2 linked regions of the Chlamydomonas reinhardtii genome follow. The main gene of each other region encodes a partner of the protein of the gene in region 2 in a complex. Links are inferred from orthologs where the notes say so. Each region holds a gene or a part of one and is shown on either strand. Other genes may lie near its edges.

What was found.
Region 1: CHLRE_12g514700v5 (region 2) and CHLRE_14g608800v5 share a complex: the UniProt entries of both Arabidopsis thaliana proteins name them as parts of the SGR1-CCE-LHCII complex. The link is inferred for Chlamydomonas reinhardtii from reciprocal best matches to the Arabidopsis thaliana genes PPH and NOL.

The regions. Positions count from the first base shown.
Region 1 is NC_057017.1:173,969-181,536, forward strand, and holds the start of CHLRE_14g608800v5 (uncharacterized protein), read right to left. Parts: upstream 4,640-7,568; 5' UTR 4,502-4,639; coding exon 4,135-4,501; intron 3,898-4,134; coding exon 3,829-3,897; intron 3,459-3,828; coding exon 3,397-3,458; intron 2,929-3,396; coding exon 2,843-2,928; intron 2,622-2,842; coding exon 2,504-2,621; intron 2,113-2,503; coding exon 2,078-2,112; intron 1,664-2,077; coding exon 1,537-1,663; intron 1,284-1,536; coding exon 1,175-1,283; intron 949-1,174; coding exon 803-948; intron 454-802; coding exon 409-453; 3' UTR 1-408. Other genes in the region: CHLRE_14g608850v5 (uncharacterized protein), read left to right, coding at 5,378-5,686, 6,183-6,349, 6,910-7,156. UniProt on the Arabidopsis thaliana protein: Required for chlorophyll b degradation. Chlorophyll b, chlorophyllide b, pheophorbide b and pheophytin b can be used as substrates. Belongs to the chlorophyll catabolic enzymes (CCEs).
Region 2 is NC_057015.1:3,710,408-3,717,918, reverse strand, and holds CHLRE_12g514700v5 (uncharacterized protein), read right to left. Parts: upstream 4,868-7,511; 5' UTR 4,702-4,867; intron 4,475-4,701; 5' UTR 4,463-4,474; coding exon 4,422-4,462; intron 4,219-4,421; coding exon 4,179-4,218; intron 3,974-4,178; coding exon 3,856-3,973; intron 3,670-3,855; coding exon 3,522-3,669; intron 3,219-3,521; coding exon 3,141-3,218; intron 2,867-3,140; coding exon 2,773-2,866; intron 2,617-2,772; coding exon 2,588-2,616; intron 2,432-2,587; coding exon 2,272-2,431; intron 2,099-2,271; coding exon 1,947-2,098; intron 1,723-1,946; coding exon 1,266-1,722; 3' UTR 690-1,265; downstream 1-689. Other genes in the region: CHLRE_12g514750v5 (uncharacterized protein), read right to left, coding at 1-41, 114-260; CHLRE_12g514650v5 (uncharacterized protein), read left to right, coding at 5,211-5,522, 6,472-6,702, 6,830-6,985, 7,221-7,493. UniProt on the Arabidopsis thaliana protein: Alpha/beta hydrolase dephytylating specifically the Mg-free chlorophyll pigment (pheophytin), yielding pheophorbide. No activity on chlorophyll. Belongs to the chlorophyll catabolic enzymes (CCEs).

The sequences.
Region 1 (7,568 bases), on a different chromosome or scaffold from region 2:
TTGCAACTGTCGCCTCTACCTGTGCTGATTGTGCTCCGCTGGTTTGGTTCAGTTTGGGCCGGTATTTACGCCGCCGCCGCTCCCGTCACTGGTTCCCACTCGCTCGTGGGTTTCTGGGAATACGCTGCACAGTACGGGACCACGCCGACCCGCCCCTTACCCTGCCTCATCGCCCCCACTCCCCACCCCAGCTCATCCACGACGCTGCCGCCGCCCTTTCCCCCGCTCATCTGGCCCCCTCCATCGTCCGCCACCGGCCCCCGCCCTCGATCGCCCCCTTTCCCGTCACGGCCAGCTCCCTCACTCGGCAGATCCACTCGTCCGCCTCACTCGGCCGCCTGCCCCACTCTGCCGCCTCACTCTGCCGCCTCACTCCTCCGCCTCACTCGGCCGCCTCGCTCTGCCGCCTCACTCCTCCACGTAGCGGCTCTTGCGCGAGCCCGTCAGCAGCCGCTGTCAGGCGGTGCGGGTGGAGGGGGGGGACGGGTGGGCGTGGGGGTCAGCGAAGGAGGTGGAGGCGGAATGGGCGCGCAGCTGTTGCAGTTAAAGTTCCCGCCCCATGAGTCACGGGAGGCATCGTTGAAAGCCGGGGGCCGATGGTATGCTCTCCCGACACGCAAACCATGTGCCGAGGATTCAGCAGTTTCTCTAGGGTCTTTCCCCGTACATGGGAAGGGCACACTCGGGTAGCCTGCCAAACCCGTCCGCCGGCGTGCGCCCGCCCTCAAACCCATGCCTTCCCCGCCCCCCAACCAGCCCCCTCCCCCGCCCCTCCGGCACAACCCTCCAGCCCACCACTCACCGCCGCCACCCGCTGCAGCGCCTTGCCCTGTGTGAGGAAGCGGATGTAGACCGGCTGTAGCGCGCCGGTCAGCGGGCTGGCGGCTGTAGCAGGCACGGCCCGGATGCGGGGGACCAGGAAGGAGGCCACGTCGGCGGCGGGCTCGGCTGTAGCGGGGGACCGGAGGAAGGGGGAAGGGAGGAAGGGGAGGAAGGAAGGGATGGGCAGCAGAGGGCCGGGTGAGTGGCGGTCCGCGATTGGTTGGACTACTTGCACTCCATTGCGCACGCCAATACACACACCTTTACACACCGTCTTGACATCTGATGCACCTACAAAGACATCCACCCACCCCGCCCCAACCCCCCCCACACACACACGCCCCACACGCACCCAGGCAGTTGATGAAGAACTTGGCGGTGGGCGTGTTGGCGCCCGCCATGAGCAGCTCGGTGGTGACCATGCCTGGCGACAGGTTGTGCACAGCCACATTCTTGATGCCCTGCGGGGGGTGGGGGGTGGGAGGCAGAAGGTGTGTGTGTGTGTGTGTGTGTGTGTGTGTGTGTGTGTGTGTGTGTGTGTGTGTATGTGACACGAAGGTTGAAAGGAGGCTTCCGTTCATCTAGCTGCGCGTAGTATGAAACCTCCTACAGCCTCGCGTACACAGGCCCCTCCTCTCCCCTCTCCCCTCTTCCCCCTGGCTCCCCCCCTCTCTCCTCTCTCCCCTCCCTCGTTCCTCCTCCCTCCCCTCTCACCAGCATGCCCAGCTCCGCGCTCAGGCTCTTGCCCAGCTGCGCCAGCGAGCGCTTGGTGGCGCCGTACGCGGCGAAGCGCGGCGTGGCGTTGCCGTCCGCGCCCGCGCCGTCCATGTTGAAGATGTGGCTACGTGGGGGGCGAGGGGGGTTGCAAGGATGTTTGGAAAAGCGGTACAGGATGCACTGAAGACTGCAGACGAAGTCGTTACCACATGAGCGGCCGTCCGGGCGGCCGCGCTCCAGGGGGGGGGGGAGTGGGGTTGTGTGTGGGGGTGGGGGTGTGGGGGTGGGGGGGGGGGGGTAGCCATTCATGTGAACGGTTCAGGGTGTCGGGTGGGTTGTCAACTCCAGCATAAGCTAAACCAAAGCAAACTCAGCTAGCGAGTTACAGGGGGAAAGGGGTACAGGGAACCAGAAGGCAGCACGCAGGCATGGGGCATTAAGGTTGACTGGTAAATCGCTCTGCATGTGCGTGCACGGTGGGCTAACCCGCGCGGTGGAAGCTGGCCGTGCCGGCGCCCCCTCCCCCGCTGCAGCTCACCCGTGCGTGCTCTGGCTGCGCATCACGCGGATGGCCTGCGGGCAGAGTACGACACACACACGCCGTACACGTACGCATACACAGCGTGGTTTGGCAGGTCCAAAGTCCACTCGAGCCCCCGCGCCCCGTGCTTTGTCTCGCCAAAGGCGGACAGCCAAAGGGAGGGATGGCGAGCAATGCTTCTGCATCCCCTGCCTTTTCCTTCCCCCCAGCTGCCCCCACCCCTAGCCGCCCTTGTCCCGTGCCTCCCTTCACTGGGGGTGGCCCATGTAAGCCTGATGTAAGCCCTTCCCATGTACCCTGTGCTCTGCTAGTTTGGCTTCTTGAGAGTGGGCTGGTATTTACATCCCGCCCATCCCACCCCCATCCCACCCCCCCTATCCCATCCACCCCATCCCACCCTCACCCCTCACCCCCCCACCCCACCTCCTTGCAGCACAGCATGACGCCCAGCACGTTGGTGCCCACGATCTGACTCAGCTCCTCGTCGGTGGACTCGGCCATGGGGCCGTAGCGGTAGGCGTTGGTGCCGGCGTTGTTGATCCTGGCGGGCGCAGGAGGCGGGAGGTGGAGGAGGTGGGGGTGGTGGAGGTGGGAGGTGGGGTTGAGAGGGCGTGTCGGCACAGGCGACAAGAGGGAGCGCCCTCCCCTCCAGGCAGGCAGGCAGGCAGGCGCTCCAGCACAGGCTCCGGTTCTCGACCCCCCCTCCCCCCCCCTCGTCTGCCCGCCTGCCCCCAGCCCTCCCCCAGCTCTCCCCCTCAGTACCAGATGTCCACGCGCCCGAGCTCCTGCGCCGCAAAGTCCGCCAGCTGCCGCGCCTGACCGGGGGCAGACACGTCCACCGCCAGACCCTGCAGGGGTGGCGGGTTCATAAGCCACGCACCGTTCATGTTTCCAAAAACACACATACATGCACACGTACCCAACGCGTTCCCCTCCCTTGCGCAATCAATCGGACCGCATGCATCCACACTCGGGGATGTCACGACCCGACAGCCCCGCATGCAGCCCCCCTGTGTTTCGCCCCCAAGTCTCCAACCCTCAACCCCCACCTGCCCCCAGCCGCTTCCGGTTCTAGTCCCTCCGTGGACGGCTATTCCCCCCTGGGATTTTATCATTGGGCCCAGATACATAAACCCTGTTGGGCTCGGGCATAGAATCCCGCTTCGTGCTCTGTGGGCTGGCTGGGCCTTGCTTTCGTCGGGGTTAAGAACAAACTACCTCCCCACCCCAGAATTAACTAACTTCCACCCCAGTGCTCCCACCCCCATGGACGGCAAACCTCCCGCCCTCCCCCCAAAACACCACCGCCCCCTCACCTTGACTCGGTCAGCGCCGTACTGCGCTGCCAGCTCAGCCACCGTCTCAGACACCCGGTCACCTTGGGTGCGGGTGTAGAGGCGAGAGCGCGCAGGTGGTGGTGGTGGTTGTGGTGGTCAGGTCGTGGTGGTGGCGGTGGTGGTGGGCCCACATGCACCCGTGCAGGCCCTGCAATAGCAGACCAGCGGACCGCCCGAGCTCCGGAAGCCCTCGACGACCGCCTATTCTTTCTTCACTCGTGGGATGGGCGAAAGTAACCCCCTTGCGTTCTGGGTTTTGGTGTCTTTGGGACTGGAATTAACTAACCCTGTGCACCTGTCGCCTGTGCCTGTACTGCGCTAGCTCAGTTTGGTTTGGTCTCCTCCTCGCTTTTTATCGTTGGTTTGGGTTTACGTTGGGTTGGTTTCCCACCCACCCACACCCCGCCTCACCGGTACGGCTGCAGACCACCACGCGGTCGCCCGCCCGCAGGAAGTCCTCGGCCAGCGCGCGGCCGATGCCTAGGGCAGGGGGGCAGCAGGCAGGGGAGAGCGGACTGGGTCCACACAGACACACAGCGATAATGCGCATCCTCAAGCCCACCCTGACAGCCCCTTCGCCACCTCGCCACCTCTCCGCCACCTTTCCCCCACCCGTCCGCCACGTCTCCACCATCACCCTCTGCAGCCCATTCGCCACCTCGCCACCGCTCCGCCCCCCGCCACCGTCACCCTCCCCAGCGACTGGGTCGCTCTCACCCTTGGTGGAGCCGGTGATAACCACGTTGTACGGCGCCTGGGGCGCAACCGCCTTGCCGCCACCGTTACCGTTGGTGGCGGTTGCGGGGGTGCCGTTGGCCGCGGCGGTTGGCTTCTCGGTCTGCTGGGTGGCCGCGCGCGTCACCGTGACGCTGCGGCGGGCGCGGCGTGCAGCCGCGCTCCCGCCCTGCGCAAGCCCGCGACGCGCGGGCGAGGCGCGGGCAAGTCCTGCGGCGCCGAAGCTGCTGGTGCTGGCGGGGCCGCCGCGTGCGCTAGCCGCAAGTGATGCCACAGCGTTGGGGTTGATGGCGCGAGCAGTTGACGCGTGAGCCTTCGCGGCAACGCCCGAGCGCTGCGATAGCATCATGGCTAACGGTACAATTGAAATGACGACTGGGTTGGATCGCTGGGGTGGTTGGTCACGCACGTAGAAGGAACAAACAAAGAGCGAGTAGAATCCAATAGAGGGCGTTGATAAGCAGACCGAGTGCGCCAAAACGTTACCACAAGTTCGTTTATAAGCCAACGAGTTGGCACGGTGAGGCAAGAAGCCCAGATGGCTGAGAGCGAGCGAAACCTGCATGATGCAATCGAGGGCCCCTGCTGTTCTGACCTTCCCTTCCTTTCCGTAAGCGCATTTGACATACTGCTTCTCATTTCTACCCGTTGCGGGAAGAAATAGCACGGGACAATACAACAAACCGCGTCCTCGGGAGTTTGCGTTTCCCAGACCTGCGATCCTCCCGACTGTTGATATTATTCAGCATTTACATACAATAAAAGCGATTAGTGCAAACTGCGTTGCAAGAGGAAAAACTTAACTTGCGCGCAGTGGAGGGATCTGTGAGCAGCACAGCGTCTCGCGCTCACCGGCTTGGTACGTGCGGCTTGTATCTTGGGAGGGTATGTTTGTGAGGCTGGCTGGGGTGAGCCATATCGCTATCATGCGTTGCCTTCCGCTCGGACACCTCTCCGGGCTCTCCGTCCATGCCCGCCGACCCTGACACTGCGCGACCGCCCGCCCGCATTCCTCCCGCCTGCACAAACGCGCCTCTTGCAGCCTCTGTGTGCGGCACAGCTACTACACAGGCCTGCCGCGGCACCACCGCTACGGAGCAAGGCGGCTTGTAGCGCCACACCCAGCTCTTTCCTTTGTTGGCACCACGGCACAGACCCCAGGCACTGCGCATCCATCTATAGCCGCGCACAGCCACACAGCACTACAGACTCACCAGCAGCAGCAATGGCGGCCGCGGGCGTGATGGAGCGCGTGGGAGCGGCCCTGGCGGCGGGCGACTACGGCGGCGTGTGCGGGCTGCTGGATGAGGCGGAGCTAGCCGCGCTGGCGCCCTGGGGCGCAGCTGCCGAGGGAGGAGGCGGCGGACCAGCCGCGGGCGGCGGAGCAGCGGGCGTCGCTGCAGGCGCCGACGGCGGCGCTGCTGCGCCCTGGCCTGCTGCGCTGCACCTGCTGTCGCACGTGTATGCGGGCAACCTGGCGGATGCGCGGCTGCTGCTCAAGCGCATGCCCGAGGGGGTCAGGGCCGACCCGCAGGTGGGCCGGCGGTGGTGGTGGTGGGGAGGTGGTACTGGTGGTGGTGGTGAGGAGCTGTCGGAGGCGGTGTGGAGGGGCTGGGGGTTGTTGGCACACTGCCCATGAGGCGGCTGGGCGGCTGGTGGTCTGTTGGGGGCGAGCTGGGGGGGGGGCTGGGGGGCTGGCGTGTGTGCATGCCCGGAATCCGTTCTTTGCTCCACAGCACTGAACTGGCGGGCAGGGCGAGCGAGGGGAGTTGGGCGTGGAGACGGCGGCGCAACCCAGTCCCTGCCATGATGGGCGGTCGAGAGCAGCGCCAGGGGCGGACAGAGTAGGGGCACGTGTTGCCGTCTCCAGCTTTGCACCGCCATGCGACGCCGCCTGTACTTCCTGTTGGCCAAAGCTCACGCGCCCGCAGGGCCTGTCTGCCCGCTCCTGTGCATCCCAACGCCCCTGTGCCCCCCTCACACGCCCCTGCCGCCCCCCCCGTGCGTGCACACACCCGCCTCCACCCCAGGTGGCTGCCGCGGCTCGGCTGCTGCAGTGCGCCTGGCAGGGCAGCGGCGAGGGCGTGTGGCGGGCACTGCGCGGCCACCCCTGGTCGGGGCCGGCGGGGCAGCTGGTGGAGGCGCTGGCGGAGCGGCTGCGCGCGAGGCAGCTGGACCTGGTGGAGCAGGCCTACAGGTGAGGGGGGGCGGCGGTTTTGGGGGGGGAAGGGTTTTGTGGCCGAGCCCAATAGGGGGACCAAGGCGGGGGGTGTAAATACCAGCCCAAAGCAAGTTGAACTAGCGGAGCACAGGCAGAGGCGACAAATGCAAGCGGGACTTCTTATGGGAGGGGGCCGAGGTGTCGTGGAGCAGCAGGGCGAGGGGCACCGCGGGAGGGGGGGGGGTCCTTTTCGCCATCCCCATGAGGGGGCGAATTTAGAGCGCAAACTGTGGTGGTCAGGCGGCTGTGGGCGCTTGGGGCGGGCTGGGGTAGGCTCGGAAGGTGTTGAGATAGGGGGAGGGGGAGGGGTGCAAACAGGGCGGCGAGGAGGGGTGTACGACGTGTTGTTGTCCGTTAATGTGGTGGTGAAGGCGTGTGGGCGGGTTGCCGTGCTGTGCTGCTGTGGCCGCTGGGCCGCTTGTGCACGAACGCCGGTGAGCCACCATCACAATGCACCGCTCACTGCTCACGTGCACTCCACATCTCTCACACGCGCCTCCCGTCCTGCCCATCGCCCCTCCCTCCCACCGCCGCAGCCACATCAGCGCGGCCCGTCTGGCGGCCCTGTGCGGCTGCGGCGAGGCCGACGCACTGGCGGCCGCCGCCGGCCGCGGCTGGCGGCCCGCTGCTGCTGCTGCTGCCGCTGGGGGCGAGGCGGGGGCTGCTGCTGCTGCTGCTACTGCAGTGGTTGTGGAGGTGGTTCCTCCTCCCTCGGGCCGGGGGGAGCTGGACACGCTGGCGGCGCTGGAGCAGCTGTCGGCAGTCATGATGCAGCTGGAGTAGGAGGGGGGCGGGGAGTATGGCGAGGGGGATTGAGGTGGGATGGGAGGAGGAGGGGTTCGGTTGGGCGGTGTGGAGGCAAGGAGCAGGAGCAGCAGTAGCGCGCGGGTGCTGGATGTGCGGAGGGCGAGGTGGAGATAGAGGCGTGGAGCTGCTGCAGCTGTGTTGCCCGGGCCGGCCTGGGGGAGCTGCCTGCAGGGGATGACGGGTGTCTAGGAAGCCCTAATGCTTGGATACGGCACGCAGGATGCGTGTGGGAGTGGTGATGTGTCGCTCCACAAAGCCACTGGTGCAGCGCCTGTGGGCGAGTCAAACGTTTGCGGACGAGTCGTGCGTGGCCTTGGGGGCGGTGTATGTGAGGTTGATCTGCAGTTGATGTGTGTGCAGGCATGGGGGGTATCGAGCGGGGGGCCGG
Region 2 (7,511 bases):
GACTTGGAGCCATGGCCCTTCTTCAGGGCCTTCAGGCGCTCCTGCACGGCCATACATCACGCGTGATGAGCCCCGGGTTTGTGGGTTGCAAGGAAGGCTGGGGCAACCCGCACCTGCTGCGCCGGAATGAGCTCACGAAGCGCCTGCTTCAGGTCGGTGTTCTCGGTCGACGAGAACTGGCGAATCGAGTTACCGACCGCACTGATTGCCTGAATGCCCAGGCCTGTTAGGCCGAGCTTGCTTGCGGCCGTGGCCAGCATCGTCACGCAGCGATTGATTGACGCACAACCTTGCAAATGATGCGAGGGGATACAGGCACGGGCCAAGTATATCTAGAGTAATGCCAATTGATACAATTGAAGCCTGCTGGGTTGAGTTAAGGGTTCCGGGTTCTCATGCAGTTCAACTCCCCGCTGTGGTTTTCGTCTGCGCAGCTGCGGATAATCATGAAAAGATCAAGTTCGTCTTCTTGTTGCAGCTTCCGGGGGCCCATGCATCTCCGTGTCAGCAGCCGAAGTAGGGCTTGGAGGGCCGGGCTTCTGACTCCGCGCGAGTAATGCGTAATGCGAGCTCGCGACGGCGTCTTGCATTCGCATTCACTCGCAAGCACTTCGTTAATGCCTGGCTGGGGGCTTATGCAATGCGTGTCCGCCTGCCCACACTACCCAGGGGTGCCCAATTACGCAGGAGGGGCAGCCAGTTAACGAGCCTCACGACCGCCTGTTCAACGGTCCGCCGACCACCGGGGCACGCTTCGTACTTGAGCCAGCTTCCCTGAGCTCGTAGTAGTATTTACGCACCCCTCGCTACATGATGATAAGCCACCTTTGCAAAACCGCTGCACTGGCAAACAGCGCACTTGCGCAGACTCGCTACAACTCGCTACAAGCGGCACGGCAATGCACACACGCAAGCGTGCTTTGCAGAGCACCCCGATGTCCTGGATTGGCGCGCTGCTGATTGATCTTCCATTTATACCATGCTCATACTTCTTTTTTGCGCACACCAAGTGTATACTGTAATTTCGACAAATAGAGTGCAGTGCCAATACGACCTTCCTGCGCAACGCTCTGCAACGCCGACCTCACACTGCTCACACGATGCACCCGCGTGCACGAGCCACTCACTGTTCATGCGGTACCCGACCAACGAACAGGATCCTTTACACCGCCACAAATTATTATTGTATACCTCCACCCAACACGGCAAGCATTTACAAGACCACAATGCACGCGCCACAGGAACACGGTGCGGTATCACTCCCATCACGCCGCCGCGCCGCTGCTGCCGCTCCCACTTCCCCTGGCACTGCCGGTGCCGCTGCTGCCCACGGCCCCGAGCGCCCTGCCCAGCCACATCCACACGGCGTAGTCCAGCTGCTCCGCCACACTGCGCGGCGAGCCCTCTATGTGGCTGATGGTGATGTGGCGCCCGTCCGCCTCCGTCACATCCCAGCTGGAGTGCAGCGGCAGACCCATGCGCGCCCCCACCACCTCAGCCGGCTCCCGCAGTGGCGTCGCCACCGTGTCGAGCGTTGCCACGGGGCCGTAGCTGTAGGCGGCTGAGGCCCCGGCTGCTGTCGCTGAGGCGCCGGCGCCAGCTGTTGTGGATAACGAGGGCGCAGCCAGGGCGAGCTGCGGCTGTGGCCGGGCCTCCTGCGCCGCCACCCACGCCCGCAGCGCGCGGTTCACCGCCGCCGGTGTCTCGTGGTGCGGGCAGTGCCTGAGTTGGCAGCAGATGCACAGGAAGTTTGGTAGGGTGCACCAGCATAACACGACGACCAGGGCCCTGATTATCCATGTACGCCCCCACGCGCAGTGTCACCGGCGCTCCCACCCAGCCGTCTGCGTCCCAGCCGGTAGCGCACACCGCGGATGCACACACGTGACACGTTCTAGCTTGCAGCCCCGCACCCGCCCCGCACATTCACCCACACGGCCACGTACCCTGCGGGGCTGAGCTCCAGGTACATGGCCTCGGGCAGCCGCCGCTTGAGGCGCTGCCCCCACAGCGGCCGCACCCAGGGGTCCTCCTTACCGTACAGCAGCAGCACGGGGCAGGCCAATCGGTCCAGCAGCTCGTCGAACGACAGCTCACCCTGGGGAGAGGCAGGCAGGCAGGAGAGTAGTGGCGGGCGGGAGGGAAGTCGGTCTCAGTCGGTCTTGGTCAGTCTTAATCGGTTCTTCTCAATCGATGCTGGGGCAGATGGCAGAACGTCCCCACATCATTCACAGAAAAAGCAAAAGAGGAGGTAGCATGCGGGGCTCTCACCTTGGGGCTGAGCACGATGCTTGTGAATGCGTCCAGTGCGCCCGGGTGCTGTGTGGCCTCCACGATGCGGCTGATGAGCGGCGGGTCGGGCGGGCTCTTGTCGGCGTACACCAGCTGCAGCATGGCGCTGATGGTGGCGGGCGAGCGCAGCGTGTCCCACCTGCAAGCACAGGGAGGTGATGGAGGCGGCGGCGGTTGAGATGCATGCGGCAGGTGTGTTTGCGTGGAGGTGTCAGGTAGGACAGCTGAAGCGCAGCGCAAACAGCGCTGTGTAGATCCATGCGGTGTGCTCAGCGGCTGAACGTCTCGTGCTCACCAGTAGCGCTCAATGACGCTCTTGAGGGACTGCGGGGCAAAGGGGCAGCAGCACAGCGTATCCCTGTCAGCACACGAGGCTGCTGCACGTCACTCCACACCACACGTCGCCCATGCAACTCGCCCGCTGGAGCCTGCCTCTCTCTACCGTACTGCACAGCATCATCGCGGCATGGCAGCACTCACGTGGGGCACGGGCACGGAGCCGTCCACCGCGCGGTCCAGTGCCCGCCACAGCCAGCTGCGCGCCTGGGCCGACGCGCGGGGCGGCCGGAAGGCCCTGCGCAGTCGCATCGCCAGATGTTGTGCTGCGATATCCTGACAGTAAAAGGACTAGCTAGCAGATGAGAGACCATCGTTTCCACCGCACCGCACCACAGCCAGACACCGCGTGTGTGTGTATCAGGAACAGCACAACGCAGAAGGGGGGTCGACGCCGCGAGTGCGTGTGGCGCCAGCACCGATTGCATGGCCCAATGGCTTCAAGGAAGTGCCAGGTGTGGATTCTGTTCTCACCGCACCAGCCCGCGCCGCCATGTGCCCCCGCTGCTCACCAGAAGGGCGTTGCGTTTAGCAGCGTCAGCCCCTTGACCAGGTCGGGCCGCCGAGCGGCCAGCATTACGGCCAGGTAGCTGCAGGCGGGGCAGGGAGAAGGCAGGTTCAGGCATGCCTCTAGGGTTAGGCCATGGCAGCGACGGAACGGGGCCGCGGCCTGTCATCCCAAGCTACAGCAACCGCGACCAGAAGGACCCCTTGGCGAGACTGCGAGCACGCTGTGTGTGAGCGTGCACGCGGGCCAGCAAGAGCTGGGCACTGTGCCCCTGCCGCTCACAAGCATTCCTATACAACCTTCACCGCCCTCCGTTGCCTGTAACCCTCTTGGGTTAGTTTGGCTTTACGGTAAGTAATCCCGCCCCCTCGCAGCGCGTACTCACCCTCCGAGGGAGTTGCCGGCCACGTACGCGGGCTCTCGCACCACCTGCTCCAGGAACGCCTCCAGCTGCCGCGTCCAGGTGTCCACGCTGAAGAACAGCTTGCCCGCGGCGTCCGAGGTCGACACAGGCTGGGCCGGCCAGCTACGGCCTGTGGCGTGTGTGCATACGCGTGTGTGTGTGTGGAGTCAGCAGTACGTTGACCAATGGTTAGCACAGGACTTGGTGATTGTTCGAGTTCAAATTATGCCGACACCCACGGGGCGGACAGAGCAGGGCCGGACACAAGTGCAAGCGATTGTCCAGCACCATATAAAGCACCCCTGTGCGCACTCACCCTGCCCCAATAGGTCCACCGCCCACACGCGGTGGTCGTGCTGCAGGTCCTCCCAGTTGCGGTGGAAATGCCAGCTGCCCACTCCAAAGCCGTGGAGCATCAGAATGGGCGGGCCGGACTGTGCGCGGGGGGGGGGGGGGCGGCAAGTGGTAAATCGCAGGGTGTGGGTAGAGTGCGTTCACCATTGCAATCAGGATTGGGAGGACGAAGGGGCGGGGCCGTCCGTGAAAGATGACGGGAAGGCTGCAGGGATGGTAGTGCCTCATGACTTATGCGACTCAGTATGGTGAGTTCGTGAGTGGAGTTCCCACGCAACCGCGCACCTCTCCCTTCTGGCGGTAGCATATTTGAGAGTTGTACTCCCTGCAGCAGGCGCGACGCGGCGGTTGCCCAGGCGTCAGAGCGTGAAGGCCGCGAAGGCAAGGACCTAAACCCTGACACGAAGATTGTGCCCGCGCTGCAGAAGGCTGCTGGCGTTTGCGATGCACTGCCCCCAGGGGCATCCGGCTCCACGCAGTCAGCCGACCCCGAAAGGGGAGTTGCGCGGTGGGCGCTCATCCGCTTACCAGTCGAAGTACAGCTCCTCGCCCCACTCCCCAGTGGACATGGTGATGGGCCGCTGCACGTGCACGTCACAACGCACGGGGGGCTCAGGTCCTCTGCGCCAGGACTGTGGAGCAGTATTCCGCTTTCCCCTTGAGCTGTCAACCGTCCCCAGATATTGGTCCAAGCCGTGACTAGCTGCATCTGCTCCGCTGACGACACCCAGGAATTGTTAAAGCGACCACGCAACTGCTTATGTCCCAGGCAAGCGCTGTTTCAACGCAGCACTCGGCAGAGACTCACCTCCTCCCTCCCGCTCGTGCTCGTTCCTGCAACATCTGTATGCGCCTGTGTCTGGTTGGAGCTAGCTATTTGCAAGCGTTTTAGGAGAGATCGTGCTTGCAGTGGACGAAGAACTGAGCTGGAGCCGTGTTGCGCCAGTCGCTGGTCACAGCCCCTAGCTGATAGCGCTTGCCTCATGGTTGCATTAATATGGCATTGAATGAAAATACTAAATACCTGAGCAGCGACAGAGATTTTCGTGAGTCCCAAATGTTCCATGCCCATTGGTTTTCTTTACCATCGCCCGCTGCGCGAGTAGCTCAATGCCCAGCCTTATAAGGTGAAAACAAGCTTTACTTCTTACCTTTGACGACGCGTTCAAACGACCTGGTGTTGTGCCGCTTTCTAATAAGCTTTCCACTCGTTAGTTCATGTTGCCAACTTATCAAAACAAGATGTGTTAAATACAGCTCTTCGCGGGGCGATATCCGGTCAGCCCCGCGGTCGCGCATGTCTAGCAAAGTGAGCAAATGAGCCGGCCAACGAGCAGGCAGTCAGAAAGCCGGCCCCAGACGGTTGAGGCCCAGCCTGGTGCGGGGTCTTTGCAGACGGTCCCGTCACCAGCGCGGCAGGCATCGAAAAATGGCAGTCGCCCAGCAACGCGCGAGGCTCCAAACACCGCCAGGGGGGACGGGGAGACCCTGGGCGTCGTACCTTCATGCCCTGGGAGGCTAACGGATGCTTACGACGTCCAGAAACCCGTGGGGAAAGGCGGCTATGCGGTGGTCTACAAGGGCATCCGCCGGGACGACGGTCGCGTGGTGGCCGTGAAGAAGGTCGAGGTGAGCTACTCGCTGGGCGGCCTGGGCGTGTTTTCCATGGAAGACCTCCGACGGGAGGAGAGCGGACCAGGGGGCAGTGTTCCAGGCATAGTGCGCAGCTTCACAGGCGCTGGTTGGGCGCTGGTGTGCCGCTGGGGCCAGGCCGGGTTACGGTTACGGAACGGCAGGCGTGGGCCCCAACAGGCGGTCAATATGATGGCCGCTCGTGCAAGCGTGCCACGGACATAGCCGACAGCCGCTCAGCAGTGACAATCCACGTGCAGCAGCTGCACGGCCACCCGCACCGCTGAGCTGCGGCGGGACGCGGGCAAGGCGCAGTACGGTGGCGGCTGCTGGCCGTGGGCTTGCCTGGGGAAGCCCGCCGCCGCAGCTGGTGGCCCCAGGCGCAGCCGCACAGACGCAGCTGCGGTGGATCTGGGGATGCGCGGGTTGCAGGCGCAGCGGGCCACAAGCCAGTCGGCGAGTCGGCAGCAGCTGGCCGCGCAGCCACTGAGGGCTCCAGCCGACGGGTCTGTACACCGCGGGCCACACAGTCCGGCTGGGGTACTGTGCTGATGGATGGCAGGATGGGACGCAGTGGTCGTGGGCCGGGCCTGTAAACCCCGCCTAGCCGCTGGCAGCGCAAGCTTCCACGCGTTGTTTTGGGTTGAAGTCATCCAGGGCAAGGGCTGCAGAACAAATGTCCGCGGCGTCGGCGACGTCCTTCTGTGCCCATTTACCCACTGGGCCGTAGCTGCTTGCAAAGCTGCCAGCAGCCTCACAGCCTCATCGACCTGGGAGAGATGGCCTTGGCAGCTCATGGAAAGCAGTTGGGCGCGTGTGTATGACACCCCGCCGCCCACTCCCTTCCGATTCCCTGGTCATGTGCCATAACCTGTCCACCTTCCCATGCGCCCATCAAGCCCCATCCCATGCCTGCACCCCTCTCTCTTTCTTCAACTGCACACAGATCTTTGAGATGAGCGCCAAGAAGCGCGATCGGTGCCTGCAGGAGGTGACGCTGTTGCAGCAGCTGGACCACCCCAATATCATCCAGATGCTGGACGCCTTCATCGATGAGAACATGCTCATCATCATCTTCGAGTGGGCGCCTGCTGGCGACCTCAAGCGCCTCATCAAGAAGACAGCGGAGCAGGGCAAAACGCTGGATGAGCCAAGCATTTGGACGCTGTTCTACCAGGTGGGGGCAAGGGGCCTGAGGGTTCAGGGCGGCTGGTGCTGAGGTGGGGTTTGGGGCCAAGCCGGGCGCTCCTGCATCCGATGTGTGCTGACACTGCTCTGCCCGCCGTCCCCGCTTGCACATGCAGGTCACGGACGGTCTGCGCTACATGCACCAGCACCGCATCATGCACAGAGACATCAAGCCGGCCAATGTGCTGGTGGGCGCCAACGGGGCGCTCAAGCTGGGGGACCTGGGGCTGGGCCGACAGCTGAGCGAGCAGACGATGGAGGCGTTCTCCAAGGTGCGAGAGGCGGGAGGGCGTAAAGCATTCATGGGGTGGTTGGGCCTCAAGGAGTTGGAAAAGCTCAAAGTTGCATAAACCCACACAAGTCGGATCACTGCGTTAGGAACCTGTCAGCGCAGGCAATGCAAGTGCGCGAAGTTGGTCCGGATCAAACCTGCCGCGCCGAGCCCTCAACACCTCCGCCGAACTTCCTCATCCCTCCGCCCTCCCCCATCACCCGCCACTTGCGCAGGTGGGCACGCCCTACTACGTGTCGCCTGAGGTAGTGCGCGGCGCGGGCTACGACTGGAAGAGCGACGTGTGGTCCATGGGCTGCCTGCTGTACGAGCTGGCCTGCCTGCGCTCGCCCTTTGAGATGGAGGGCGCCAACCTGTACGACGTGTTCCAGAAGATCAGCAAGGGCGAGTATAGCCCGCTGCCGGCCGACCAGTTCAGTGCGCCGCTGCGCTCGCTGGTGGGCCGCATGCTGCAGATAGACCCCGCCAAGCGCCCCGAGCTGGAGGAGGTGCGTGCCTGCCTGAGG